Styela clava: one gene and its partners. Each later gene encodes a partner of the first gene's protein in a complex. Links are inferred from orthologs where the notes say so. Each region holds a gene or a part of one and is shown in the gene's direction. Other genes may lie near its edges. The genes, in order: pre-mRNA-processing-splicing factor 8, ubiquitin carboxyl-terminal hydrolase 39-like, thioredoxin-like protein 4A and protein AAR2 homolog.

Region 1 (7,157 bases):
ATATGGATCAATTTGCTATAGTCTTGCTGTTGTTGTTTGGGTAATTTTTATTGTTCATATATTTGACACCACTCTATTTTATGTTTCTAGATGATGGCGGATAAGAAAGCTTATGATGGACCAATTCTAGGCTGTGCTGAAGCTGGATCTACCATGTCAGCTACCATAAACAACTTGCAGAAAAACCAGGACTATTCAGTTTGGATTCAAGTTAAAAGAGATGGCCAATTTTTGGCCAATCTGTTAGGGGATAAAATCCCTAAATCCCGCCCATGAATTGTATGAACTTTCTGTCGAAATTGATGTTGTGCATATTAATAAAGTATATTCAAAACTAGAATATTTTGTGCTATCGATTGGGTTTCTACAAGACCAACTACTTTTCCGTTTTCTTTGCTTTTGCTTTTTCTAGAATATTTTTCTTGAAAATTTAAGGCAATAAACATCATATCTAAAAAGTCAAATGTGTAGGCTACATTTCTTGCGCTACCGCTCGAGTGGCAGAATGAGTTTTATCAATTTGTCAACCAAAAAATACAGTCATCAATAAAATAGCAACCGCAATAAAATTGTTTTGTTATGGTCAGGAGGGAGCGATACGATCATACATGGAGGTCAGCATCCACCATATTCTTTGATGTGAATAAAATTCACACAGGAAGATGACTACTAACAAAACATGAACTAGTACAATAGTAATAATACGACAATGTCTTGATTTGGTTATTAAGGAAATACTAACTCAGAAAAAGATTATGCGACTGTCAGGTCGCTTAGTTTTTAAATTTACTCCGCGTGGGTTCGCAGGTTGGAATCCCTTGGAATAATTATGTGCGAAAGGATTTCTCGTCGCCATAGGGTGGTTAAGGTAACCGATTTTTTTGTATTCTCTAAGAGAGAGGGAAAATGAGGTGTTTAGCCAGAAAACAGAAAAACAATCACTGCAACAATAAAAATATACAACTTACCCCGTAATTTAAGAGTTTTGAATCAGATAAGTTAGTTATTATCACGCTTGCTACAGCATTCTTGCATTATATGCATACGGATCCACCGACACAAAAGCATAGAAGAGGGATAAGTAGTTAGTTTCGCAGAAACCAAATCATACCCCCTAAACTAAATGTACATAAAAAGTAATTTTAGTTAGTTTGCAAAGATCAACAATCTGTACATTAGTTTATTTTTATTTGATGCCTCATTGGCTATTATATTCTCCGGAAAAATTTTATATTTATCTTTCTTCCGACATTCAGTACACTACACGATGAACAAGAGAGCTATGCTCAAATATATGGACATAAAATTTTGATGACGTCATAGCGAAAATTTTTTTTAACTTTAACCACTGAAAATTTCAAAGCAATTGGTCCAGTATACGAAGAGAAAAGCGATTTATTCAAAACGTGTTGCTTGAGACAAATAATAACAATAACAACAAAATTTTGAAACGATCGTTATGTCCACTACGTGTCCAAAAGTGAATGAAAATATACCACGTGACCTAACTTTGACACGCGCGAGTGCATTTGCACATTTTATAAAACGTACGTCTTGCGTTTCAGCGTCGGCGTGTTGATTGATTCAGTTTTTACGCGTTTTCATGTTTTACTTCCCCAGAATCTGAGAATAGAACAGTATTATTTCGATGGGAGACAGGCTAGACTAATTGTATTTTTATCCTTTGCGGTAGAAGTTATGGTGACCGTACATTTGAACCCATAAGAATATCCGCGGGTTCAATCTATATGCGTCTGCTAAAACTGTAAAACCCATTGGGATGGTTAGTATGGGTTCAAATATCCAGAATATCCGCAAAAAAAAATCCCTGATGCAATAGTATGCAGGTGCAATTGTCGTGGGTTTAAATGTACGGGTACCAGAAGTTATAAGTAGGCTATATTCAACCGTGTGCAATGTCAGAATGTAGGACAATAGGATGTTAAATTTTCCGATTTTATTTTGGGAAAAACAAGAAAACGTGAACATTCACCTATCCACTGTAGACTACATACAGACATAGGCCATAATTATACGGTATCTTATGAATTTAACAAAGTATCTCATCATAATCTTAAATCACATTAAAAACAGCAATATCAGAATATTGTATTTTGAAATTCAAACTAGCCTACACAGCTACAGGACTACGGTACCCGTACCTAAACTACAAAACAAAATTCGGGTCTGGTATAGTTTAGTAGTCTATCACATGTCTGACTTCTAGTTGGCCTGGCTCCACAATTATTGCATATGCCATTTCTAACCCCCACCTGACTGCGTCATCCAAAAATTACGGGTCTAATATAGTTTAGTACCACAAGTACTTCTGGTTGACCAGACTGGAATCCATGGCAGGTGCACGCCCGAGGGCGCTAGCGCTCCGCGAAAATGCACGCGAGCGAATTCAATTTTGCACGCCGAAAATTTGCAATTGCTCACCAATGTAAATCGGTTTAAATTGTTTTAAAATCAATAATCCAGTAATATAAAGATGCCAAAATAGTATAACTCCACAATTGTCGACTAATACTAGCTTGCAAAATTTGGTCTGATCGAAAAATGCGAAGCAAAAAAGACCATATCGTGTTGAATGATAGGAATCCCGTGAGAATAGTTATGGACGAAAAGATCGCCTCCGCACCAACGCTGGCCAGGTACGGCTCTGATTTAGCGTATTTTTCATACAATAATTTTACACGAATGTACTGAACAGTACCGGTATTTAAAGTCGAACAAACACTCTCAAAATTAGTGACGGAGTATAAAAATACTGTTTGGGGTCAATGGTCAAACGTCCAATTTTGCTCTAATTTGATGTATTTTTATTAATTCTACGTAAAAACACTCCCAAAATTAATGACAAAGTATGTCCATTTTTCTCTGGTTCAACGTATTTTTTATTCAATAATTTTACGCGGATGTACTGAACACTACCGGTATCCAATATCGCACAAACACTCTCAAAATTAGCGACAAACTGTAGAAAAAATGTTTGGGGTTAAAGGTCAAACGTCCATTTTTGCTCTGATTCAACGTATTTTTTATCCGATACCGGACGGTGATGTATCGAGAGGTATCTAATGTCAAAGTCAGTTGCACGCGGGCGCAGTTGTTTTGCACGCCGTGAGCTATAATTGCAGAGCCATTATATAATGGCTCTGATAATTGCACGCCAGGGATTCTTATTTGCACGCAGGAATTTCTGATTGCACGCCCGATTTCTCGTTCAAAAAGGCCATGAAAACCAGACTGGGTAGTCTATCACATGTCTGACTTCTAGTTGGCCTGGCTCCACAATTATTGCATATGCCATTTCTAACCCCCACCTGACCGCGTCATCCAAAAATTACGGGTCTAATATAGTTTAGTACCACAAGTACTTCTGGTTGACGTAGCATAACGAATTTTGCATATGTTCTTCCTAACCCCTACCTGACTATGTCTTCTAAAACTTTATTCCCAACGACGTCACAATCACATCATACAGTCATAGATCTTGCCAAAGTATAGCTACGACTGTACGATCACTCGAAAGGGCATCTGCATCGACGATAACGAACTCACTAACACCCGTGTTCTCTCGCATATCGGGATTGCTGGAGGTCTTTATTACGCCACTGTGGCGTCGTAGTGACGTAACTTTTGGTGACGTAGTCAGGCAGTACAGCACACAATCCAAATTCCAAGAATTACCCTCCATTTGGCTCAATGAAACAAACACTCTATGTGTCTCACAAATGAGGGGCATCTGGGACCACGTCGGATGCTTCATATCGCGCCATGCTTATCTCAATAATAATTAATCGCAGCCGTCACATGACCAAAATTGCCGTTTTTTGCTAAAAACGTTCGAATAAAATTTTTTTCCTTCGGTAAATCGGATTATTTTTTCCCAAGGATAACAATGATGACGTTACTAGATTGTGCTTTTTTGTAGTATTTTGCGCAAATTCATTATACTGTTTTATTATCGATATTGAGGTACAACAATGTCCAGACGTCTCCCAAAGGAGGTGTGTCTGATCATCTGTAAAATGGGATTGAGGATTGACATATGCAAAAATTGTCGATTCAGGTCAACTAGAAGTGCATGTGGTACTAAACTATACCAGACCCTTATGGCCCTTGCTTCCCAGTACTTCTAATAACTTCTACAATTTTTGTATTAGAAAGCTGTAAGTATAAAAGTTTATGGAAACTTGCTCGTAGGTAGCTAGTTTCACTCGGGCTGTCACAAGTTTGTAGAGCGTTGCTCACAACTTGAACCAGCATGGCGTTTCAATATGGAATGCAACCTCCACCAGGTATGCCACCACCTGGTATGCCACCTGGAATATCACAACCTCCCCCTCCTGCTGGTGGACTCAGTGAGGAACGATTACAGGTTGGTTGTGTTTTTACTTGAATTTTTTATGATTTTTACTGAAGGGAATACTTCAGTTATGCAAGATGAAGTTTCATGATCAATATATTGTAACATGACCACTATGACTGAGCATTTTAGCGTATTTGATGATTTCAAAATCGATTCAATTTTTTTTTTTGGAGGTGAATTTTGGATACCTACTTAATACAACGACTGAGGTATAATACAACGACTTAATTGCATGTTATATTTTTATTGTAATGGAAGATATAGAACCCAACACTCGGTCAGTCCTGCAGTCACATACAATAGGGAACATGTTTCATCAATAACTCAATAGGAAGAATAAAGTCATATGTCAGAATTACATTTCGAAAACATGGCTTCAATAAAAAAATTGAGCAATTCACTAAAATAACAAGATGACGGAGTTTCGAAATTTTCGTCTGAACCGATTCGAATAAATTAATATTCGTTTAGACTCGAATATTCAATTCAAAATGCCCATCCCTTATATCCAGGTTGTTATAAGTATTTTGTTGGAACAAAATTTGGAATTGAAAAATCTGTAAAAAAATTATTGATGAGAGTGTAATGAACAGTGCAACCCCAAACAAAGTAGATTCCAATTTATAATAGTTTCTTACCCGGTTATCTGCCTGTGCAAAGCCTTGTTTGTAGCATAAACAATAATATATCATATAAAAAATAATGTCTGTTTATTGGTTCTAGGAAAAAGCTAGAAAATGGCAACAATTGCAATCAAAACGTTACGCAGAGAAAAGAAAGTTTGGATTTGTCGACCCACAAAAGGAAGACATGCCACCAGAACATGTCAGGAAAATTGTGAAGGATCATGGAGATATGACAAACAGGAAATTTCGCCATGATAAAAGAGTTTATTTGGGGTAAAAATATTTGTTTTTATACTGATGGTTTTAATATATAAGTTGCCAGTCAGTGTTAATTGAAAGTGAATGTTTCTTTCTTTATTTTTCAATTTTTCGTCTTGTAATTATAAAATTCAATTTATGTTTGTTGCACTGGAATGTACTCGATACCTGATATGTAAAAATACTTTGTTTTGAAAATTACGGTATTTAAAATACTGCATTCTTTAATTTTTGCCATCTCTGATTCAGAATATAACTTTTTGATGGTTCCAGCGTATTATATTCTCATAGTCTGAAGAATTCAGTTTCTTATTAAATAACTTATACATTTTCTGATAATTTTTTTCTTATCAATCCAGGGCTCTGAAGTACATGCCTCATGCTGTTCTAAAACTACTTGAGAACATGCCAATGCCTTGGGAACAGATTCGGGATGTTTCCGTCATTTATCACATCACTGGAGCTATTACTTTTGTCAATGAGATTCCATGGGTCATTGAGCCAGCTTATATCGCTCAATGGGGGTAAGATTGTGATATGAAAATTAAATAAAACAAGTTTGTTTAGTGGAAATTGTTATATTAATACAGAAAAAAAACTTATTTATAAATATGTATAATGAGGAAAATGCATTAGGTATCTGAAATATTAGTTTATTTTAAAATAAGCAATAGATATTTTGTTATTACCAGTATACTTTATGCAGGAGTTATTAAATTAGTAATTGTTGTCAATATTAGCGTTGTACTGTGCCTCCCTCCAAAAGAAAAAAAAACGGAACCCAGCTGATAGGGAACATATTCTCGAGAGGCCGTAACTTTTTTGAAAAGCTTTCCAGATTACTAAAACTTTTGGGTACAATCATACTCCGAACTTAGGTGCTGAATAAATATTCTTCATTCTCGTAGGATTTGTTAAAAAAAATTATGAGTTCTATTTTTTGGGCCAATCTATATGTGTGTGAAAATTACTGATGCGTGATGCCTAAATAATTACTTGATTATTATTTTTTTCATTGAAACCAATTCTTTTTACCAGTAATAATAAGTGTGATCAGCTGTGTAGTTATCGGTTTCAATAACTTTATGGATTGAAACATTTGGATTGCCTCAATGTTAAATGTATTTTAGACTTTAGACAGTTTGAATGAAGTAAGCTTATCAAGCAAGCAAAATAAGTGGTGCTTTGCTCGAATATAAACATTTTTCAAGCTTCATATAAATTTTGCATTTAGACTGGTCATAGTAATAAAAAATATTGTCGGGTTACACTGCGGTTCCCAAACTTTTTGTTCGTGTGGCGGCAACTTATCAGGGAAAAAACTCACGGCGCACTCACATGTGAAAAAAGAAAGTGCTTTAAAATAAAACTCAATTTTGTGATCGTCAATATTCAATCATATTTTAGTTATGTTTGATATAATTCTTTTAATTTTTGCAGTGCACTAGGCAACTTGTGCACCTATTGGGAACCACTGTGGTAACACATAATCAGTGTATTATACCGTCTAACTATTTTTCTGTATCTTCTAGTTCAATGTGGATTATGATGCGTCGCGAAAAACGTGATCGTCGTCATTTCAAGAGGATGAGATTTCCTCCTTTTGATGATGAGGAACCTCCTCTTGATTACGCAGATAACGTGCTGGATGTTGATCCTCTTGAAGCTATCCAGCTTGAACTGGATCCGGAAGAAGATTCCTCTGTTTCTGAGTGGTTTTATGATAATAAACCATTGCAGGATGAACCCAAGTAAGGATATTTATATAGTAGAATTTCTTTACCTAAAACTGAAGTATTTTTTCCATTTTAGGGATGTCTGTATACGAATATCTTGATACTCTGAAATTCAGTCTTACAATCAAATTTTATGAGGGAAATCATGATAATTAAATC
Region 2 (7,482 bases), on another chromosome or scaffold:
ATATGGTATAAGACTAACTATATAGTTTAGTTATTGTAATTATTTTGTTGAATATACATTTATAGTAATAAACTATGCTATCATCACAGAGATGGTAAGAAACTTGAGTGGAATTATAATTATTAATAAAGTTAATTTTGTTGGTGTGTTATGGGACTAATTGTATACTTTAGTTATTGGCATTTGTTGAATATACATTTATATTAACACAAAGATTGCAGGTTCATGGCTTATATCCTTTCATGTAAGCAACAGCTTAAATGTTGATTACCAAATTATAAAAGTCAAATATAATATACAAAGAGACACTTGTATGTGGGTATTGAAATACAATTACAGAAATACCGTATGCTACAATTGGGTATGAATTAAAAAATTATGCTGATTACAGATGGCACTTATTAACTTTCATCTTTAAAAAAAATGGCTACAATCATTTATGATACTTATCCATGCATTTTGCTCTGAACAAGGCAATGCACAAAGCTTCCACTGATATCTAAAGTATGGAGCAAATATTTTCGGAAAGACCAAAATATTTCTGATTCAGCATTGTCTATCCAATTTATTACATCTTGGGAAGACATGGGATTTGAACCGAAGATGTATAACCTGCAATGCAAAGACAGTTATGTCGCTTTAACCACTAGGCCACCGCATATTAATATTATAATATCTAAATCACAGGGATATTACATGTAAGTGTGTGATATTGTGAAAAACTCTTCTGCAACATTAGTAACAACAATTAAAACTATTTTGAAAACGCAATTACTTAATGAAAAATATTCACAATCAAAAATATTGACAGATGATTCAATTTTAAGTTTTTCGAATCAATACTTCCATAAGATATATAGAAAAAAGAACACTTGATGATAAAACTAGGTCAACTCATGACCACTGTCAAAACCGGATTATTATAAATTAATTAAAAGATAGGTTTGTACAAAAAAGCATATGCTTGGGTGGTGTTTTATTTAGAGTATACATCTAATAAAAAAAAAAGCTCACAGATTTTGAATTGATAACACCACTTGATTACAGAGACTACACACAGAGAGACTTGATTATCGATATAGTTGAGTGTAGCCTAGAGATTGTTATATTTGGTTCAAACTGCCATTTCAAAGCCTCCTCCATAGAAGGGGATATTGGGCTGCCATTCATTCCGCTTGATTGCCGAGATTGGGAACAACTTCACAGACAACAAAACCTTGTGACTGCATTGCTTGTTTGACGTCCGATAACTTGTTTAAATCAAAACACATTCCTATCACTGCACCCCCGCTTCCTGGAAACTTAGTGGAAGAGCCGTACTCTCGTCCGAGTTGTATCATCTTCAAATTTGCTTCACCGAGGCAACTCTCTGTGTAGATTTGTTGTCGTAAATCGAAATTTGCGTTCATTAGTTCAGCTACTTTCCTCCAATCTGATTCTAAAATTGCAGATTTTGCTTTCTCTGTGTATTCCGCAAATTTCTGCATCGCTTCACAAACTTCTGTATCACCGGCATCATAACGTTGTCGTACATTGCTATGAATCTTTCCAGAATCACTTGGATCAGATAAATACGCAACCCATATGTGAGGAAGGTCGTTAGCTGGTAAACGCTCGTAATTACCATATCCACGACCTTCTAAAAGATCTTTGCTGAAATCCATGTACATCAAACCTTCGTAGACTTGTACAACACGATCTTGTAATCCAGCATTGATGAACAATTCATCAGTTTCCACATTCAGGATAAAACTGGCCCGAACCGGTTTAGGCAGGTCTGTTTCACTGAGGTTATAGAATTGCATTAAACATTTCAACGTTGCTGTGACAATTGCACTACTTCCTGCCAGCCCAACTTGTCTGGGAATGTTCGTGTCATAACTCAAAGTGAAATTCTTTTTATACAACGCAATCCCTTTGTCATTGCAGTACTCGTAAAATTTTTTGCATGTCGCCTGTAGAAGCCTCAAACCTCCAAGATATCCCTCTTTTCTGCTGATTCCATGTAAATCCTGCAAACTTCCAAAGGTCGTAGGGTCATTTAAAGGGTGGGGGGTCAAAACTAGTTTTTCACTCTCCATAATAGTAACATCAGCCCAAAAGTTTGATATCGAAAGTGAAATTGTTTTCCCATAAAAACCGTCGCTCGGATTTCCCATCAAACCGATCCTAGCATAAGCACGACTTGTAATAAGTCTCTTACGAGCATGCTGTCGTTTTAAGTCGCTAAAATAATCGAGTCTTGCTTGATAATCAGTGAGTGACACTTGTCCAATCAGTTGAAAACGAGTCGGTAATTTCATGCCATAAACATCGTATTTTTTATCATTGATAAGCCATGACATATACTTGCCAAATGTACGAGTGCCATTCCCTGGGTATTCTTGCAGGTATGACGAAACCGTAGCCAAAGTAGATTTTCTGAGACAGTAAAAGACAACACTTGCCAAACGTGAATTAGTGACTCCAGGCTCTGGTTTTTCATGAAAATGCAAAATTTTATTCGTTGTTACATCAACTTCAACAATTCCACGAGAAGTTGTAGCTTCATTTTGTTCCATTTCATAATAAATTGCAAGGTCGCCAGCTTTGTAGTGAAAATATCTCACTACTTGTGAAATATCGAAATTCTGGTCTTCAAAAAGCATATCGCCAGCGACAACCATGACATCATCATCAACGTTTTTATTCCTCAAAACCAATTCAAAATCACCAACAGCTCCGAGCTTTGTATCTGGTGTCGTAGAACCGTCATTAACTATATTTTCAACAGGAAAATCATTTGCTGTTGCCCATCTTTCAAAATGCTTGTATTTATCCGCATTTGTAACCAAATAAACCTCACTAAATATCTGTCGTACATTGACCACCTTCCACCAGTAATCCATAATTAGTTTCCCGTCCACTCCCGGTAACAAAGCTTTAGGAATACCAATCAAATTGCTGTATTTTCCAGTTGTATCATTTTTAATGTCTTCTTCCAACTTGGCACCATGGCCCGCCACAAGCAATATGCACAGCATCATGGGATTTGAAAGTGTAGTACTCAAGATAACAGAGTGAATCACTGGCCATAAAAAACAAAGACATATATGATAGAAAAGATTTTCATTTACATTTAGACAGTTAGAAGAGTGAAGATGATAACACTGTAACATGGCTCAACCACATAGCACACAGCTTTTGGTTTGATTACCAGTACATACATGGAAAAGATGATTAGAAAAATACATGATAAAAATAATATAAATTGAAGATTAGATTAGGATATGATTTTCCTATTTACTGTAATTATTCCAATGAGAAGCAAACCAATAAGGTGTCCCAATCACATATTTCCAATTTAAACCTAGTAAAAGTACAAATAGGAATCAGAATTAGAAAAAGTCGATATCCCTTTAGTACGATATGAGTTCAAAACAATTTTGTATTATTTACACATACAGACATATCAAAAGCGTTCTATAAAATTACATATGTATTGCGTAAGGTAGGTAGGTATTGCATTTCTTAATACAATTTTCGCATCACATTTAGACATATTTCATGTTCCTGAGCATTTAATTCATTCTACATTTAAATATAATTCTTATTACTCATTGAAAATATCTATTCAACCCAATTGCGGAAATTCTATGTGGCTGATTTTTCACACATATCTAGGATAATTATTGTTGAGTAATCGGCGCGGCGGTGTGGCTCAACGGGCTAAGCGTTAGGAATACGCTCGCCACCGCACCTCTAACTACTCTGCGTGGGTTCGCAGGTTCGAATCCCATGCAGGGATGGTTATGTGCGAGAGGATTGCTGGACTCCTCGCCGTCGTTGGGTGGTTCACGTAACCGCTGGTCGGTTACGGCTTCCTCCACCACCAAGTCCATGCTTCCAAAAACAAACAATACAGTAAATCTAATCCCATACCCGACTTGGAATGGTAACCGGACGAGAGGCCGTGGTTCGCCATATGGATAAGCCGTCTTATCGGCTTTCCTCTCCCCCGGGATAAATATGTAAATCCTATCCTATCCTACTGCAACATCCCAATACCGTGTCCTGGTATCAAAATACTGCGTAACGACTTTATCTGCGGGTAGCTGCGTTTCAACATCAATCTTCCAATGTTCATTTTAGTTAGAACTACTATCTTTTGATACAAATATTAGAAAAATAACCTTGCCTTTGCATCTTTTCCTTCCAAAAATATTCGAAAATAAGGAGTGCATTTTAAAAAGTTTACTACAAGGGGAATTCCCGAGTTAACCAGAAAACATCTTTTAATATTAATGTGGTTTCGTGCTCAAGTTCGAAAGATTTGAGTGTTTTTTTAGCATCAAGTTTTGTTGTTTAGAATTATAAATATTTGATAATGAAGTTGTGTTGTTGAATTCTTTTAAAATATATCATTTTCGTAAGATTTGAACTTATTTCCTATCGGAATCAGCCAAGCGTAGTTTTTTTGACACGTGACACCGACGTTCAATTTTCGTTCATGCTGCATTTTGTGGGGAAAATTATTCGCTGAGCGTTGTATTTTTCTACAATCTGTATATTTTGAAGGTCTAATCATGGATATAAAAAGTATTAAAAACGAAGTGGATTCGGAAGAGAACTCTGAACCCGCAAAAAAACGAAAAATTTCAGACAGTGAAATTAAACAAGAAGCTCCAGAACAAAAAATATTAGCTTTGGTTGAAGAATATTCGTCTGAAGAAGAATACAGGTATGATGACGAACCAAAGATTGATAGAAGTCGAAGCTGCCCGTATTTAGATACAATTAAACGCAGTGTTTTAGATTTTGATTTCGAAAAATTGTGCTCAGTGTCTCTCTCTCATTTGAACGTTTATGCTTGTCTCGTTTGCGGAAAATATTTTCAAGGAAGGGGCAAAAAATCTCATGCCTACACTCACAGTGTTGAGATAAATCATCATGTATTTTTGAATCTGAGGACTCTGAAATTTTACTGCCTCCCTGATAACTATGAAATTTTAGATTCATCACTTGAAGATATTACTTATGTTCTTAACCCTACTTTTAAAAAGAATCATATCGCTGAATTAAGCACAAGTTCCAAACTTAGTAGAGCTTACGATAGCACAACGTACTTGCCAGGAATAGTCGGGCTCAATAACATCAAAGCGAATGATTATTGTAACGTTGTTTTACAAGCGTTGTCAAACATCCCTCCATTGAGGGATTATTTTTTGAGAGAAGAGAATTACTCTCATATTAAACGGCCACCTGGTGACATCATGATTCTTTTAACTCAAAGATTTGGAGAATTGATTCGTAAATTATGGAATCCTCGTAATTTCAAAGCCCATGTGTCACCACACGAGATGCTGCAGAGCATTGTGCTCTGCTCTCGTAAACGATTCCAAATCACTGTACAAGGTGATCCTCTTGAATTACTTGCTTGGTTTTTGAATTCTTTACATGTTGCCCTAAATGGAACCAAGAAGAAGAGTTCCAGCATCATCACTGAAACTTTCCAGGGAGAAATGAAAATTTATTCAAGAAAAGTTCCTAACCCTGAACTACCAGAAGAAGAAAAAGTGAAACTGTTAGATCTGCCAGAATACCAAGAAACAATGCAAAAATCACCGTTTTTATATCTCACATTAGACCTACTTGCTGCCCCTCTCTACAAGGACGAACAGGAACAAAATATTATCCCACAAGTTCCGTTATTTAACCTTCTTGCAAAATTTAACGGCCTCACTGAGAAAGAATACAAAGGAAAACGAGATTTCACCATGAAAAAGTTTGAGCTTACACGTCTCCCTCCGTTTTTAATTTTCTACATCAAACGATTCACGAAAAATCTATTCTTCATAGAGAAAAATCCTACAATTGTTAATTTTCCCGTCAAAAATATCGATCTCGCGGAATTTGTCGCTGCTGATGCAGATATTAAAGACACATGTTATGATCTGGTTGCAAATATTGTGCATGATGGCGACCCGAACATTGGGAAAGGCACATATCGTGTTTATATTCTCCACCAAGGATCTAACCAATGGTATGAGATGCAAGATCTTCATGTGAGCGACATTTTGCCACAAATGATTACTCTCTCTGAAGCTTACATCCAAATATGGGCCCAAAGAAAAGGTGGAAAAGAATATGCATTTTCTAATGAAATGCAAGCCAAAGCAAAATCGGATGGAGTCAAAATGGAAATATAAATAACATTCATTATTGCTTGATTATTTAGCAAATGCATTTCATATTAGCCAATTTGGCTACTAGTCTTCGGAATTATTAGATCTTTGCTATGTCGAATTGCTATATGGGGAATTGATGATGTGCAAAATTGGCATGAAAAAAATTTTTAGTTTTAAAAGAGTGTTACAGTCTTTGACTGGCCAATTTAAATACTAATCCTTAGTGTGCCCCTCCGCAACTTGGAAAGCTATGATAAAATAGTGTGTAAACTAAACCCACATTTGAATGGAACTTTAACTGACCAGTTGCTTATAGGTGATGGAATAAACCAGACCTGTTTTTTGTTTGTAAAATATTATTATTGGAAGCTAACTGTTCAATCTTGCTCATGCTTTTGTTTAATATTCAACTTTCTAATGATGGCTACTTTAGCACTAATTTCATATGGCATACTCAACTCGGTACTCCCGTAGTGTGTGTACCAGATTAGGGTTAGGCTTAATATACCCCCTGCCCATAGGCTTCCATCCCTTTACACAACTTGATGTAAAGTAGGCGAACTAAATTAGTTACCTCTATTTGGTACACACAATTCTGGAGCGCCCTCAACTTAAGTAACACTTATAAATGAATGAGGTAATGAAATCCAATTTGAGGTATTGGTGACAGTGATATGTATATTTATACAAATTTTCTCATTGGCTTGCTTCATACCACACCCTTTATAATTATCACAAGTAATCAAGAATTGGTTGATATAAATTATCTTTTGTTTTCTGAGCCTGTAGTCACGCTCTCCATGATAAGAGTTTGCAACCTCGATATATAAGTGTGTAGAATACGTGGCAAAATTGCGATTAGCAAATAGATTGATCGAATCAGAAATCTTGTTTAATATAATAGTCATCTCTTTATTATACATGGCATGTACTGTTTACTCACGATCTGTTCAATGGGCTACATGATTGTCTATCCAAAATTTACCATTTGTTTGCTTTCCATTTTAAAAACTTTCAAAAAATTTGCATAAATCTGCTTTTTTGGATATTCAATATACTGCTCTTATTTTTGAAATTTCTAGCTGTCACTTGATGTTAGATTTTGATTTGGTAATAATTGTATTGAATTTTTTTGTAGACCCAGTACTACATACTAAAGTATTATTTAAATCTTCCCTATACAGCTTCGGTGACAGGATACGACTTACAAAATGGCTGACGTTGGTTCATTAGAAGAGCAAGCTCGTAAAAGGAGAGAAAAATTGATGGCAATGAGAAAAAGAGCTGCTGATAAAGACGCAGTTTCAAGCGATGC
Region 3 (7,710 bases), on another chromosome or scaffold:
TTTATTCAATTTTATTCCGAGTATGTTTCTAATTTAATTGAGACCTCTAGATTCTAGAAGTATGTGCACCAAGATGGCGCACAACCTGAACGTTTTATGTGTACCAGGTTAAGGTTCAGGTTGTGCGCCATCTTGGTGCACATACTTCTAGAGATCTCAATTAAATTCAAAGAAACATACTCGGGATTAAATTAAACCAAGCACAAATAAATTACACTAGCGCCTTTAATTGAATACTTTCATATCTGCAACAATAAACCCCTAACCAATGTAGTTCAAATATACTGACCATAGGGCGTTTACCCCAGCTGAGAACCCGAGTATAATACACGATAGCAAATTTATATCCCCAAACGTAATATCCATTTTCTATCAACGAATATTTGACAGGCAGTCTATAGTACCTGCTGTGCCTCTAGCAAATCCTTTTCAGCTGGTCTCATCACTTTATGCCTCATATTTACACAAATATCAAATACTTGTCATCGGGCGTGGAATTGTTCGCGCCAAACAACGCTACTGCTGTCATCTACGTTTACACCATTCTTTTGTCATAGACATTTTATTGAATAGCGTTATGACCTAAACAATTGAGTTAATCAGTCTTTTGTTCAAGAACGTGTTTCATTTCATATTCGATAATTAAATATTGAGGTGGGCGTCCGCGTTATAATTTAGTCCAGCCTCGATTAATTAGATTGGGAAATGCACAAAAAGAAACGCTCCAGAAGCGTGTGTACCAATATGAAGATAATTAATTTTGTTCGCCTATTTTACATCAAGTTGTGTGAAGGGGCTGAAACCCATGGGTGGAGGTATATTCACTTTGCTAACACAGACAGTCCCCGAACTCGTAATAGAACTAAAGTAAGGAAAATCGGAATAAAAGTATGATCTAACCCTAACCTGGTACACACACTACGGGAGTACCTCCAAAAGAAACGCTATAAACCCCACCACACTTTATACACTAGTTAAATATTTCACTTTTGAAAAAGCCGAGTAGAATGATTATGTTGCATGGTTTCAATGAGGCTATGTTTCGCAAGTCTCATATAAACAGACAGTCAGCAGTAACGACTTGTTGCTTTGTGTTATTGGACATGAAGTGGATCTATGGATTGTTTTGTCGTTGTTACTATTCTTTTCCTTGTTATTGTGACAATTTCGATTTTCTCTTCAACTACTGGACCGATTGCTTTGAAATTTTCAGTGGTCAAAGATTGTTGTTGTCACTAAAACTCTATTACTTTTATTATTTAAAAAATGTCTGTGGGCTTTATGAATTTTTGTGTGATAACGCCATCAAAATTAAAACATTTTGTGGCGGTTCCGCTTTCGCGATCTGGTCATCACTGATCAGTCGAAGATGGAAAGCCTCTGTCCGGAACTGTGGAAGATTTGATTTTGGCCTCACTCTCTTGTTCTCTTTTAACGCCCATGGTCGCTCGAAAGTTCCCATTCTACGGTTCGAAAATTCCCCTACAACGGTTTTTAAAATAATTGCCAGGAATTCACCAGTAACTGAAAGATCTGTATTTTTCAGCAGCTGTTGATTTTTCTGTTGCGCAAATTATAAAACTTTTAGAAGTCGTAATAATTGCATTCAAAGTCAACGCGCGACTAGATTAATTTACAAAAGCTTCTCGACTACAATCCCGAAAAATACAATTTATTTGAGTAGAATGAAAATTTGATTGAACATACATCGGGTTTTTTAATCATGATCGTGAATAAATTTATTGCGCAAATTTTAATACGGTTCGTCTGAAATAGACAATCTATAAATGAGCACATTGCGCGCGCAATTAACTGTTTTTCATCTTTACGTGATATGTCGTTTCCGGTGGTAAACTGCGCATAATGCGTATCGTGAGCACGCGAAATTTTTGCATTGTCTAAAATAGCGTATAGGTATAAAAATTATTTTTAAATGTCGCGGGTAGCACAAAACAAAAGTTATGATCATTTTTCTCTTTTTGTTTTTAGTGTGCAAGATATCGTTTCTGTTGTTAAATGAGCATAACCCACAACGCCGCGCAAATTGAATTTTATTGGGGTCAAGTTTGTTTGTCTTTGACAGTCTTTATAGCAGAGCCCACTACCGAACTTCCACTATAAATCCACGAAAAATTAAAATGTTATTTTTTTCCAATCGCGTTGAAAGTCCAATGAAGCAGATGGTTAAGTACAGTTCCATCATCTTGTTAAGATCCGGATACATTTCAGTCAAGACTCACGGAACAGTCATAACCCTTTTAATTTAGTTGCTGTTAGCTGAAACGCGTAGGATAAGCGTACTATTGTTTATCCATTGTCTATCTTTTATTTCTGGTCAATATGTGAGATGTTGAGTAATTAGTTATACGACAATTCTTTTGCATTCTTTGTTTCGATTTTTTTTTTAAATATTTATCACGGTGGAGATGAAAACCGATGGAACGACTTGATCGTGTGACGAGTCAGGATACGAATCTAGGCCCGGTTTTTAAACCATTTTTCCGTATTTATGGTGCCTACGTGAACTTTTTTGCTTCTTTCGAGGAATTCTTCGATCGTCGAGTATTACAAGGCAAAACATTTGCATTACCAGACATTAGTGCTTTCTGTGGTTTCCCAATGTCTAATAATTTATTTTTACATAGTGTACAAAACTGCAAAACGTTTCATTTAAAAATTCAAATAAATATCATCATATTAACGGACTGTAATGTTATGAAGCGTTTGGTAATATTAAAATAACCATCGAACTAATCTTGAATCATTTTTACAAAGCCCCGGCCACTAATGCAAAAATGTGAGATTTGAGTAAATCCCCCGCAACGTGTGAATAATATGATATGGAGGTTGGGGTCAGAATTGATTCGAATATCTAAATTTCCTGGGTAATTTGCATTCCTAACCCAAACCCCCAGCGGATAATTACTAATTTCCTTATTTTAATCGTTGGTGGGGGTGATTTTTGTTGGGGTCTTTGTACAAAAGAAACCCAATTTTAACTTCTTTTGCCATAAAGATTGCGGTATCATTGGTATTTCGTCCATTAAATATTCAAAGAAACGGGCGACCAGGAGCTTTGGAGGTATGGTGGTCAGTGAATGCGCGCTGGCGCGGGACGCAGTTCAAGTCAACACGGTCAAGAAAATAGATAGGCGGTGTCGATTACTTTGTGGACTTCATTTAGGACGATCTTAACAATTACGATACAACGCTTCATTTTGTCTGGTAATTTGTCTAAAGTTGATGCTGACTGCTTGTTGAATAACTGAATCCGATAGTTAGAACAGCCTGAGATAAAACGGTAGGCAAAAACTCGGCTTCGAAAGTTCGATTTGTGTTGTTTTAATTCATGCCACGAGGATGAAATAAAATGATTGATCGTAAACTAGTGGTTAGTGCCCATGATTTTGTCGCAAAAGACATTAACTGCGCCTACACTACGGCTATTTCCAAAGAACTGGAAAGAACGAGAAAACCAAGATAGGCCCGGTCGAAAAGCGGCAGCTGGCGATCAAATTGAAATGCGACTAGATTACTTATGGTTAATGGAAATTCCTTCATAGTGAAAGCGGATTTTTTTTATAATCTCAGTCATGGTATACACGTACGAAGAATATTTCATTGAGAAGGCAACATATAAAAGATATGACGAAAAATATACCTAAAAATTATGACAACTTCCATGGCGAAGCAGGCAATTGCCAAACTTGACGAGTCACAATAGTGTTCGTTTTTTAATATAAGTTGTGGATTCAATTATACCAAATTTGTATAATCTCATTATTAAACATTGTGAAATAGTTTTTTTTATGATGTGTCTTAAATTTCACGAGTGGCTGATTCTGTACTCAGCATTGCCATATTCTAGCAATATTTTAATTACTGAAAAAACGGGTGAATGATTAACCATAAATTGTGTAATAGTATTTCCCTTTGTTTTATGGAAACCAAGATATCGGCTTGAACTAACATATTTCATTCTGAAAGCAACGCATAAAAAGTTATGTCGAAAATTAATCATGGAATAATATGGCAATAGTCGGAGCGAAAAATCAGTTATTGGCCGAATTTTACATGTCCCTATATGTGAACATTTATTCGAATACAAATAAAACTCAAACTTTGGTAGAAAAATACGTTAAAAAACGATGTGCCTAGAAGAATACTTGATTTCACAAGTTCTGGTTTTAGGATGACACCACAGAGAATAATGACACCAAAGAGAAAATACTGCGCTCGCCCGTATGAAACAAATGGCGACCCCGAGTGACGATATTGGATGGACTAAAAAATTCAGAACGTTTTAGATACGTCGTAACTTCTGCCTGTTATCTTTTGTGTACCGGTAAGGAAACTAATACTGGTGAACTGGTATGACTGTATGATAATTGATGAAATGTCTGCCTACTCTGCAATTTGTAATTTTAATCATTTTTTAGCTAGACAAGATTCTTGGTGCGATATTCTCTCTCATTTTGATAGGGTGTGGTTTGTATTTGGTTACCGGTAGTGCAAACTGCAGTACCGGTACGGTACTGTCATTGTTAAAAATTTTGATAAATTAAATTGGCATTATTCAATAGGCAGATATATCATGTTTTGCAGAACACAGATTCTATAATACAGGAGTAGGTACCGGTATCAGATTTGAAGCTTGAGACATTCTATGCGTTTCCGTTATTCCTTTTTTTAGGCAATGCATATTTTTGTTTCTTCCTAGGTTTTTCTAGTTTAATATCAATAAAAAGCAGAGCAAATATAAAGAAATTCATCATTTTTGTGTCTCTGAACTGCATAGTTAAATTTTCTGGACCTCCAAGCGTAAAAAACTTCGAGCAATATGTCTTATATGCTTCCTCATTTAACAAATGGTTGGCAAGTAGACCAGGCAATCTTGAGTGAACAAGAGAGAGTTGTTGTCATTAGATTCGGGCATGATTGGGATCCAGCCTGCATGAAGATGGATGAAACGTTATACAGCATCGCTGACAAAGTCAAAAACTTCGCCGTTTGTTATTTAGTGGATATCACAAAAGTACCGGACTTCAACAAAATGTATGAATTGTACGACCCTTGTACGACTATGTTTTTCTATAGAAATAAACACATTATGATTGATTTGGGAACCGGTAATAATAATAAAATTAATTGGCCTATGGAAGATAAACGAGAAATGATCGACATTTTGGAAACTGTTTACAGAGGAGCAAGGAAAGGCAGAGGTCTTGTCGTTTCTCCTAAAGATTATTCAACAAAATACAGATATTAATTTCTTTTAAATTGTTTCAAAGCGAGCTCAAGAATACTTATATGTGAACGGAATATATTAAAAAATAGCTTTGTTTTAATATGTGTGAGGGACTACACCAAAATCTATTTCTACATATTTCACAAAAGTATGGTTTTCTACCAGTGTCTCTTAGAGTAGGCTGCCACAAATTGCCTAATTTTGACAAATTATTTTCACATGGGACAGGAGTATTGTGTTTTGCCAAAGCATTCATGTTTTTTTAAGGCACTTTATTAAGGTACATGTTCTATTATTTTTTTTAATTTTTTTCCGCGCAAGTATTGTTTATTCCCAATAGCAAAGGGCGTAAAATCAGTCAAACTTACAGTAATCTGCGACGATAAGTTTGGCCTTTTGCCAGGTATTGAAAATGTCAAGAGTTGTCAAGACAAACTGTCAATATTATATCTGTTGTTCAAACATTATGTTTGTGTTCACCCCAGAAAAGGGTTCCAAATTTCGTTTTCAAATTTATTTAATTGATGTCTCTGGTATCTCTAAGATTCTACAAAAATAAACTGTGGCAAAATGTCTCAATAATATGTATATGAAATGTATGTTCAAAAAACTTAATTTTAAGAATGCAAATGAAGTAAAATCACATACCAGGTGAATGAATGAATATTTCTGCAAAGATATGTTTGGCATTTTGTGATTATTCTCATATTTCGGATTGTCGAAGTTGTCAGTATTAAAAAATCTGTCATCATGAATGTTCATATTTGAATTACTTGTAACTAAGTGATCGTCTATTCTGACAGATTTCAATATAATATTTATGATATTAAGGTAAATTCATCCATATTCAGAAACGTGGGCAGTGGGATAAACTATAAAAATGTTTATTAGTTTCAATTCTTTATTAGCAATTTGAATTGATTATGAAATAGCCATTCAGAATTTAAATTGGAGAATATTTTTAAGATAACTACTACCTACTCTGAACATATAAATTCTGAATTCATCGAATATTCACTTTTACTTAGTATAATTTAAAATGTGGCATCATCCTTGTTTCATCAGAAAGGTTTTGGGCGGTATATTTGATTACTGACTAGTTTATTTTCTGTTTCTGCTGAATTTCTGTGCTTATGAAACCCAATTTTTTCATATGTTTATATTTTAAATTTATGTAGAAACATTAGGTAAAGGCATAGGTTTCTGACTCTGGAATGACTCCTAGGGTAACAAACCGGACAGGGTAACAAACCGGTCGAAATGCCTAATCTCGAAAAAGTTATTTATTTGCATATGCTAATTAAGAACCTCACAGTAGAATTCGACTGAGTCAATGTGTGAATTATGTATGATGCGATTAAAATTTATTTCTTGTTTTGAATATGATGTCCATGCTATTTTTTTGGTTGGATATAAAGTTTATATATTGTCTCATTCAACACTGATATTTTGTTGAACACACACAACTCACTCTTACCACCAGTGTTGGAAGAAAGTCCCAAAACTTCGAGTTGCAGGTCATGGGTCATCTGAGTCGATCACTGAGCTATGTTTCACTGATGGTTAGTTGGAAGTTTGGGACGAATCATTTATTTCGAATGACTTTAATCACTGTTCAGGTGAAAGCTGACCTCTATGACCGTATGGGCATATCACTCCCTCCTGTCCATACCAAAACAATTTTATTGCTGTTGCTATCTTATTGATGACTGTATTTTTTGGACAAAATAATATTCTCTCTCTCGCTGTTATATGGTGACTTGAAACAGAACTGTGCCAATTGGGCCTCTATTTTTCGATTGACTAAATAATAAATCTCTCGCTCTTATAGGGTGACTCGAGTCAATGAATCGAGCTACTACAATACTGCTCTTTTCTATTTATGCATCATCCACTTGCAATTTTGTAAAATAAATACCACTTTACACCAGTCTATGTACTTGACATTGATGTTTTTTGTGATTTTTGTAACAAGTGGTCATTTAGTGGTGTCTGAAAATGTGGTGTTCCATTTTGCTACACCTATCTCACTGTCATGACTTAGGGTTAAGTGAGCAAATGAAATTCTGAGTGAGAACATATGTAATACTTAGGCAAAGCGTTAGAACAGTGGTTCAGAATTTGTCACATCTCGCGCCCCACCTCAAAAAATAGCTAGCTAACAATAAGCTACAAATAACAGATAGTAAGGCGAAAGTATGTTTTATTCAAAAAATACTTGGATGGAACTTAAATAATGAAATAAATGGAAAGTTTTGAAATTTAAATATACAAAATAAGGCGGGCAAGATCAAATCTAAGTAATATTTTTATTTGGCTTCACGTCCTCTCAAAAAATTGTCTACGTCCTCCTTGTGTGGCGCGCCCCACCGTTTGAGAATCACTGAGATAGAGTGTTTATATGCAGTGATATTCATACAATTAATATTGATAATTAATACAAGTCCTTGAAGGGACATTTT
Region 4 (7,185 bases), on another chromosome or scaffold:
AATAGATAACTAAAGTTAACGCCAGTGCTCATGCAAAAAATAACCAGAATTCAATTGAATTTGCCATCTAGGAATACGCTCGCCACCGCATCTCTGATCACCCTGGTAGTTTCACAGGTTCCAATCCCATGTAAGGATAGTTATGTGCGAGAGGATTGCAGCTCTTCTCCCACTGAGGGTGGTTCACACGACCGCTGGTCGATTACGACATCCCCCACCATCAAGTACATGTTCCTGAAAACAATTAACTGGCTAACTAATCCCGACATAGAATGGTAATCGTACGATGTTGCATCTTGCAATCCCCCCAACCCCCCCCCCCTCAGATAAATCTTATCCTAAAAACTACCGACATTGGTAGGCATATTTGCGTTTTAATTGAAAGAACTCTTTATCAATGGCCAGAATGGTGTTGTCTGATTGTTTCGTTAGTTAGCAGGTACTCTATTACTGATCTGATGTTTAATTTCTTTTCAGGATAAAAGAAAAATGACCCAATATCAGCAGCTTATAAAAGCCATCAATATTTGAATTTTCGCCATCCCCAGAGAAGAATAGTTAGAAAAAGAGGAGAAAGGCAAAAGGCAGGACCATTTCAACAAATTCTGTTAACTTGTATGCGTTGCAATATCACTTTGCAGTTGTTAGCATAAACATTTAATGTGTCTTTCGAATAGACCTACCACACTTTAAAAAAAGCCGCCTATACCCATTTTCACTAAAACCCTAACACTGTGAAATATTTGATAGAAATTACCCCCAAGGCACCATATCTTCCATTTGAAAGGGCTGTGGAGGCAGATACATTTTTTACTCTAAATTATGGAATGTTACTTCCAGGTTATCTTATCCTTGCTTATAGATATCTTGATGTTAGTGACTCCAACTAGCCCATGCATGCCACACTGAAAATTTTCTTGTGTACCGATGAAATTAAGCAGTTGAAGCCTTCAGACCTTGAAAACAGTCGAATCTGAGCACGATGGATTTATGTGAAACACGTAATATGCATTTATAAGCAAAAATATCCCATCCTGAGCAGCACTGATCCACAACCTCCTGCCTATGGAATCAAAACATTAGACAAATTGGTGTACTGTGCGCATTCACAAATCTTTGCAAATCAAGTGTGCCTTTTGACTAAGAAAAATTTAGCATTGAAATGGTCAATCTCAATATAAACCTGGTATCTGCAGATAAAACCAATTGTTTTTTAAAAATACATTTTTGATCCTAAGTGATTCAAGAGTCTTGCTGCACACTAACACAAATATATTTCTGTAACGTTTCGTCTGACCAAGGTCAGACTTCTTCAGACATACATAATTCAGTTGAATTATGTATGTCTGAAGAAGTCTGACCTTGGTCAGACGAAACGTTACAGAAATATATTTGTGTTAGTGTGCAGCAAGACTCTTGAATCACTTAGGATTGTTATCTCTACTCTTGCTACAGCATCCTTGCAATATATGCATACGGATCCACCGGCACAAAAGCATAGAAGAAGGATAAGTAGTTAGTCTCGCAGAAACCAAATAATAAGTACATTTTTGATGTGCTTTATTTTTCAAATATAATTTATAATTACTGTAAAGTGTTTGATACATTTGGTACCATGAATACCATTTGCAAATTAGCTTGGGTTACACCCCTCTCATATAAAAGTTTACACTCTAAGTCAAATCTCATAATATTCTTTAACATCAGAATTTTCTTTCAGATCACAAAGTCGCAATATTACGCCTCGCTAAGTTTCATTGGCAACTGTATTTGGTTGTAGTATCGGTGTCCAATTAGACTGAAACCTTCACTACCAGACCCACCGAAACAAAAAAAAATTCCTTGATAGGGTCGTATTGAAGTTGCTTTCGTTCAAGCACAATGGACACTTTATCTCCACCAATCCACAGTAACCACAAGTTACTTTGTCATTACAATAAGCATCAATAAAGGAATACTGAGGATGTATTATCAAGTCACGCAAGCTGAGGTCTTGTGCCACTGTGGTCTTGTTGCAACTTATACTTTGCCATCCATCTATTCCACGGTCGCACCCATATCTGTAAGAAAATGGATACAGATTCATTCGATATTATGATCCTGCACTAGCTTTGTAATAATTGTAGAGTTTTCATAAAATCTAACGATCAAGTGGTGTGAAATTTATGTCCATATCCCACCACAAACACTAGTCGTAAATGAACTTGATTAGCATATCCGGGTAGCATATCTTTTTTACCAATGACAATAAAAAGACATTTTGGGTCAGTTGTACAAGCACCTTTAAGATAGGATTTATCTGGGAGGGGAGGATTGCAGGTGCAACAACTAAATCATATAGCGAACCACAGTCTCTCGTACGATTACCATTCTATGTTGGGATTAGTTAGCCAGTTATTTGTTTTCAGAAGCATGGACTTAGATGGTCGTAACCGATCAGCGGTCGTGTGTGGTGGTAGAGCTGCAATCCTCTCGCACATAATTATCCCCGCATGGGATTGGAACCTGTGAAACTACCAGGGTGATCAGGGATGCGGTGGCGAGCGTACCTTATTCCTAGATGGCGAATTCAATTGAATTCTGGTTATTTTTTACATGACCACTGGTGTTAAACTTTAGTTATCTATTCAACCTTCACACTTAGCAATAGATTACTTGCTAACTATAACTAGGGAAACAATACCTTATGGCAATTGATGATTGATTTCTTACACAAGTCAAGTCAGCAAGTACGGTACCGGTACCGGTAGCCTAGGCCTACGCCTACCAATAACAGTAGTTTGTCATCTGCTTTCCATTGAAATGAGGGAACTTTTTAGGGAGGGAGGGAGAATATTAGAGGAAATTGATAACGGCACATTATCACTCACCATCAATGAAGTGCTGTCCGCAAACATTGAAACACAAGCGAGATGACTTCTGGACTTGACACCAAGCAGTACTGCTGCCGGTAATAGATGATATCCACATTGCGCGACGTTTCGGATCTTTTGAAACAGTGGAATATAACTGAAGATCTATTTCGTTGTCTAATTATACTATACGTACAGCCAACAGAACAATACGGTGGTCACGTGACTTTGTTTACTGGACGGCAAAAAAACAAAAACGTCCATTTGGCTCCTGTCAGTTGCAAGTCGGATTATACCGGTACCGGTACGTTTCCGTTTTGTTTGGCTGTCGAAATGGCATAGACCAGGGCTACTCAACTGGCGGACCGCGGTCCGAATCCGGACCTTTCGGGTATTCGATTCGGACCGCGACTAATTCTTTATTTTGGATCATTAGCCCCACTTCTGAAGTTTCCTTTTATAAAATCACTTTTATAGGTTTAAATATATACTGGTAATTCACATAAACTGCTGAAACAGAGACTGCCTGAAAATTTGACTGTTTTAAAAAGCGTGTCTTTGTTTTCTGTCAGCAACATACGACATACATACTGTGAGCAGGGTTGCCAGACCCCAGCGATCAAAAAAAGCCAAATCAAAATTTGAAAAAGCCAACATATCTACTAAGTACAAAAGCCCCATGATTTGTCAGATTTTAAGCCCTTGACAACATACTGATGGAGTGATGGTGATGTAGAGCTATCAGTTCATTCAGTGAGGCAAATAAATAGAAAGTAAAGTTCCTATAGAACTGTAGAAAGTAAAATAAATATCAAGCGGACAGCATCATTTTACCATTCAATATATACAATACAGGGTGCTGCTTCAGTCTGTCAGTATGTAATATACCTACATGTTTCTACTTAAACTTGTGATATACCGGTACCTTAAAAAATTCTCCCTATATCGTACTTTACTATTGAAAATTTGTTCACTTTTAAAATTTATAAACCATCAATTTTATTAAAAAATGCCGCTCACGAGTGAACCCATGATATCTAATTCAGTAATTTTAGCAAAGTTAATCACATCGTTACTGCAATTGCAGAAATAAACTAAAGCTTACATAAACCATATCAGGCATAATAAAATTAAGTTATACAACTATTTTTTGGAAACGGAACGTAAAACTGACAAATAACACGCAAAACTATAATAACAAGGCAATGTTTACAACCCTGCTTTAACATATGTCTGAGCAGCTGCAGAAACTGCAATTATTTCTCATTGGGTATGGTTAAGAGTTAATGCATTAATAATGTAACAAACAAGGAAATCGATGCTCCAGGAAATCCTAATGTTAAGTAGCTAAGTACGTGTAATACAGTAATAGGCTATTGTATACTGAAATATTGTAGGCTACTTCATATGATTTTAATAATAGAAACTAGAATGACTTGAAAAACGCCGAAAAACCAAACGGAAATTCTGACGCCAAACGCGTTTGAAAAATGGCAAATTTGGCGTTAAAAAAGCCAATATGGCAACCCTGACTGTGAGCTGTCAGAAAAATAGCTATCTCAAAAAACATTATTGGCAGGGCAAAAAGTAAGCTACAAAACTTCAATCTAGTAGAATCAGAAAGTGGAACAATATCACGGCAACAGCAATGTACGCCAGCAATGTTACTACGTCATTTAAATGCTGGTGTTAAAAAATATTAAGTGCAATAAACTGGAAAAAACAAACTACTGAACTAAGAAACAGCAGGAAGACAGATTCACTGAATGCAATACAAGTCATCATTAAATTCAACCTACCATAATTCCGAATAAACAATGTTGCATGTCACATAGGGAACCTGTTCCGGTTTAAAAAAACATGTACAACAGCAGTAACATATAAAAACCCTCTAAAGCAACTGTAGCAGCAACACCAACTTTAAATGATCTTCTACTATGATGTAATATAGTGAACTATTTGTACTCTCTTCTTATGTTTATTTTTAATTTCTGGATGTTTTGTTTTCCCATCTAGATATTTTTTATACTGGTATACAGACTGAACTACGCTTCATAGCCGAGGAGTCCAGCAATCCTCTCACATATAGCCTTATCACACAACTGCATAATGCGCCTTACCGCCGATGCAAATATATTATCGTTATTGTTCATATATATTTGCCTGAAGGTAACCAAAAATACAATTTTTTTTTCAGACTTAATAGTATTATCATAGTGCTACCTCCTGATCATGGACCAAGGTTTGGCCAAAAAACTGTTTGAAGAAGGTGCATTTTTAATTCTTGTTGATATGCCGAAAGGTACAGAATTTGGAATGGATTGGAATTCTTGGATTACCGGACCCAAATTCAAAGGTGTTAAAATGATTCCCCCTGGCCTCCACTTTATTTTTTATAGTTCAAATGGAAAACATGGTGGCCATTCATCTCCAAGGTCTGGATTCTTCCATTTTTTCAAACAGAGGGAAATTTTTATTAGCCATTGGGATGTTAATAATGAGGAAATCCAATTCTCTCACAAGTCTGTTGATGAGATGAATTCACTCAGAGAAAATCTGAAAAACTTGGATAAAAATTTGGCGCCTTATCCATATGACACCTTAGAAAAATGGGTGTCTCTGACAGACTGGATTAATAATGATGTTATGGTTAAACTTCAACCCGAAAACGGAAAAATTCAGTCTGTTCCCGAGTTAATTTCAGAAAGCAATGTTTCACCAAGTGGGAGAGAGATGTCGGAAGAGAGTGTCAAAGTGCCAAGATCAAGTGCAGTTGACGAGGATGGACTGCCTATACTAAAACCTAAACCTGGGACTGAGATAAAATTTTCAATGATACCTAAACAATGGTATCCCCCAAACGCAACTCCACATGAAATTTCAAAGCATAGTGTGGATTCATCATACATTTTAGGACAAATAATAAAAAACTCTTCCCAACCTGAAGACTTGCTTGGTGAACTGCAGTTTGCATTTGTATGTTTTGTTTTAGGGCAGGTGCTTGATGCTTTTGAACAATGGAAATCCCTTGTAAATGTCCTATGTTCTTGTGATGACTTGCTGAAAGAACATCAAAAATTGTACGAGAGTTTACTTACAGTATTTTATCATCAACTCAATGAAATACCAAAGGATTTTTTTGTTGATGTTGTTAGCTCTAATAACTTTTTAGTTTCAACTTTAACTATACTTTTTAGTAATCTGCAAACTGAGGGAATTGATGCAAGTCTACAAAAACGTGGCAAACAGTTTCAAAAATATTTGACTAAAAAATTTAAGTGGAATTTTAAAAGTGAGCCAGATGATTGGGCGCCTGTGGTTGTAGAAATATAAGAATATAATTATGTTGATGGATTTCAACTGAAATTACACTTTTTTCATATAAATGGGTCATAAAATTTTGTTTAAATTTAAGATTTTAAAGTAGCTCAATCGGGATCAAAAATTACATAGTGAGTCAGGTCGATTCAAAACAAACCTATTTCATAAAATAAAATACTATTGTTAAACAAAATATTTGCTACAATTTGTAAATATGTTTATACTGAATGATTCCACATCGTAAGGAAAGCTAGGAATGGAGGAGCAAACTGGCTACAAAATTGTAATGCCCCCATCTCTTCCTGCCCTCGTTGACATTGCGGCAATTAAAAATTGAAACTCAGTGATGCATCTGTTGTATCACACTTACAAATTAAAATAGTCTGTGATGTTTCATGTCATTTTTCTTATATCATGCTTAATTCTCCATTCAAAATAATTGGATATTTCACCTACAAACAGCTTCCAAGCAAAAACATTATTTTTCTTCAATTTTTGCCATCTAGATATACTAATTGATATAGACTACTACACTAATTGTGGAGAAAATAAAATGTTTTATTGAATTCAAAATGTAAGTAAAGGAACATTTTTAGAGTAACTATGAGTCTTGCTCTGAGACCAAGATTGTGGACCAGGCGTTTTTTTTTCTGCCATCGCAACTACAATGTGGCTGTAGAAGGAGAATTAAACAACGATAAGTTGATGGAAGAACAGCTTGTAAATGATTTATTTGGAGGTACAGGAGGTTCAAAGAAAATTCCTGATAAACTCGAGAACACTTCGACACTTTTGTTTCCTGGGCAAGGAAGTCAGTATGTTGGAATGGTGAAAAATCTTTTGAAATATCCAAATGTCAAAGATATGTTTGATGTTGCTTCGGAAATTTTGGGATTCAAATTATTAGACCTGTGCATCCATGGTCCTAAAAATCAGTTGGATAAAACCATCTACTGCCAACCTGCTGTTGTTGTTACCTCACTTGCGGGTGTTGAAAAGCTTCAAGCTGAAA

What was found.
Region 2: pre-mRNA-processing-splicing factor 8 (region 1) and ubiquitin carboxyl-terminal hydrolase 39-like share a complex: the UniProt entries of both Homo sapiens proteins name them as parts of the U4/U6-U5 tri-snRNP complex. The link is inferred for Styela clava from reciprocal best matches to the Homo sapiens genes PRPF8 and USP39.
Region 3: pre-mRNA-processing-splicing factor 8 (region 1) and thioredoxin-like protein 4A share a complex: the UniProt entries of both Homo sapiens proteins name them as parts of the U4/U6-U5 tri-snRNP complex. The link is inferred for Styela clava from reciprocal best matches to the Homo sapiens genes PRPF8 and TXNL4A.
Region 4: pre-mRNA-processing-splicing factor 8 (region 1) and protein AAR2 homolog share a complex: the UniProt entries of both Homo sapiens proteins name them as parts of the U5 snRNP complex. The link is inferred for Styela clava from reciprocal best matches to the Homo sapiens genes PRPF8 and AAR2.

Annotation. Positions count from the first base shown.
Region 1 is NC_135250.1:4,435,940-4,443,096, forward strand, and holds the start of pre-mRNA-processing-splicing factor 8, read left to right. Parts: upstream 1-4,149; 5' UTR 4,150-4,273; coding exon 4,274-4,387; intron 4,388-5,101; coding exon 5,102-5,277; intron 5,278-5,621; coding exon 5,622-5,786; intron 5,787-6,794; coding exon 6,795-7,013; intron 7,014-7,157. Other genes in the region: uncharacterized protein LOC144428064, read left to right, coding at 91-276. UniProt on the Homo sapiens protein: Plays a role in pre-mRNA splicing as core component of precatalytic, catalytic and postcatalytic spliceosomal complexes, both of the predominant U2-type spliceosome and the minor U12-type spliceosome.
Region 2 is NC_135257.1:18,732,634-18,740,115, reverse strand, and holds ubiquitin carboxyl-terminal hydrolase 39-like, read left to right. Parts: upstream 1-4,457; 5' UTR 4,458-4,565; coding exon 4,566-6,188; 3' UTR 6,189-7,306; downstream 7,307-7,482. Other genes in the region: uncharacterized protein LOC120345593, read right to left, coding at 1,167-3,158; coiled-coil domain-containing protein 12-like, read left to right, coding at 7,379-7,482.
Region 3 is NC_135251.1:10,684,771-10,692,480, forward strand, and holds thioredoxin-like protein 4A, read left to right. Parts: upstream 1-4,714; 5' UTR 4,715-4,840; coding exon 4,841-5,269; 3' UTR 5,270-7,192; downstream 7,193-7,710. UniProt on the Homo sapiens protein: Plays a role in pre-mRNA splicing as component of the U5 snRNP and U4/U6-U5 tri-snRNP complexes that are involved in spliceosome assembly, and as component of the precatalytic spliceosome (spliceosome B complex).
Region 4 is NC_135254.1:12,007,899-12,015,083, reverse strand, and holds protein AAR2 homolog, read left to right. Parts: upstream 1-5,019; 5' UTR 5,020-5,084; coding exon 5,085-6,185; 3' UTR 6,186-6,680; downstream 6,681-7,185. Other genes in the region: malonyl-CoA-acyl carrier protein transacylase, mitochondrial-like, read left to right, coding at 6,777-7,185. UniProt on the Homo sapiens protein: Component of the U5 snRNP complex that is required for spliceosome assembly and for pre-mRNA splicing.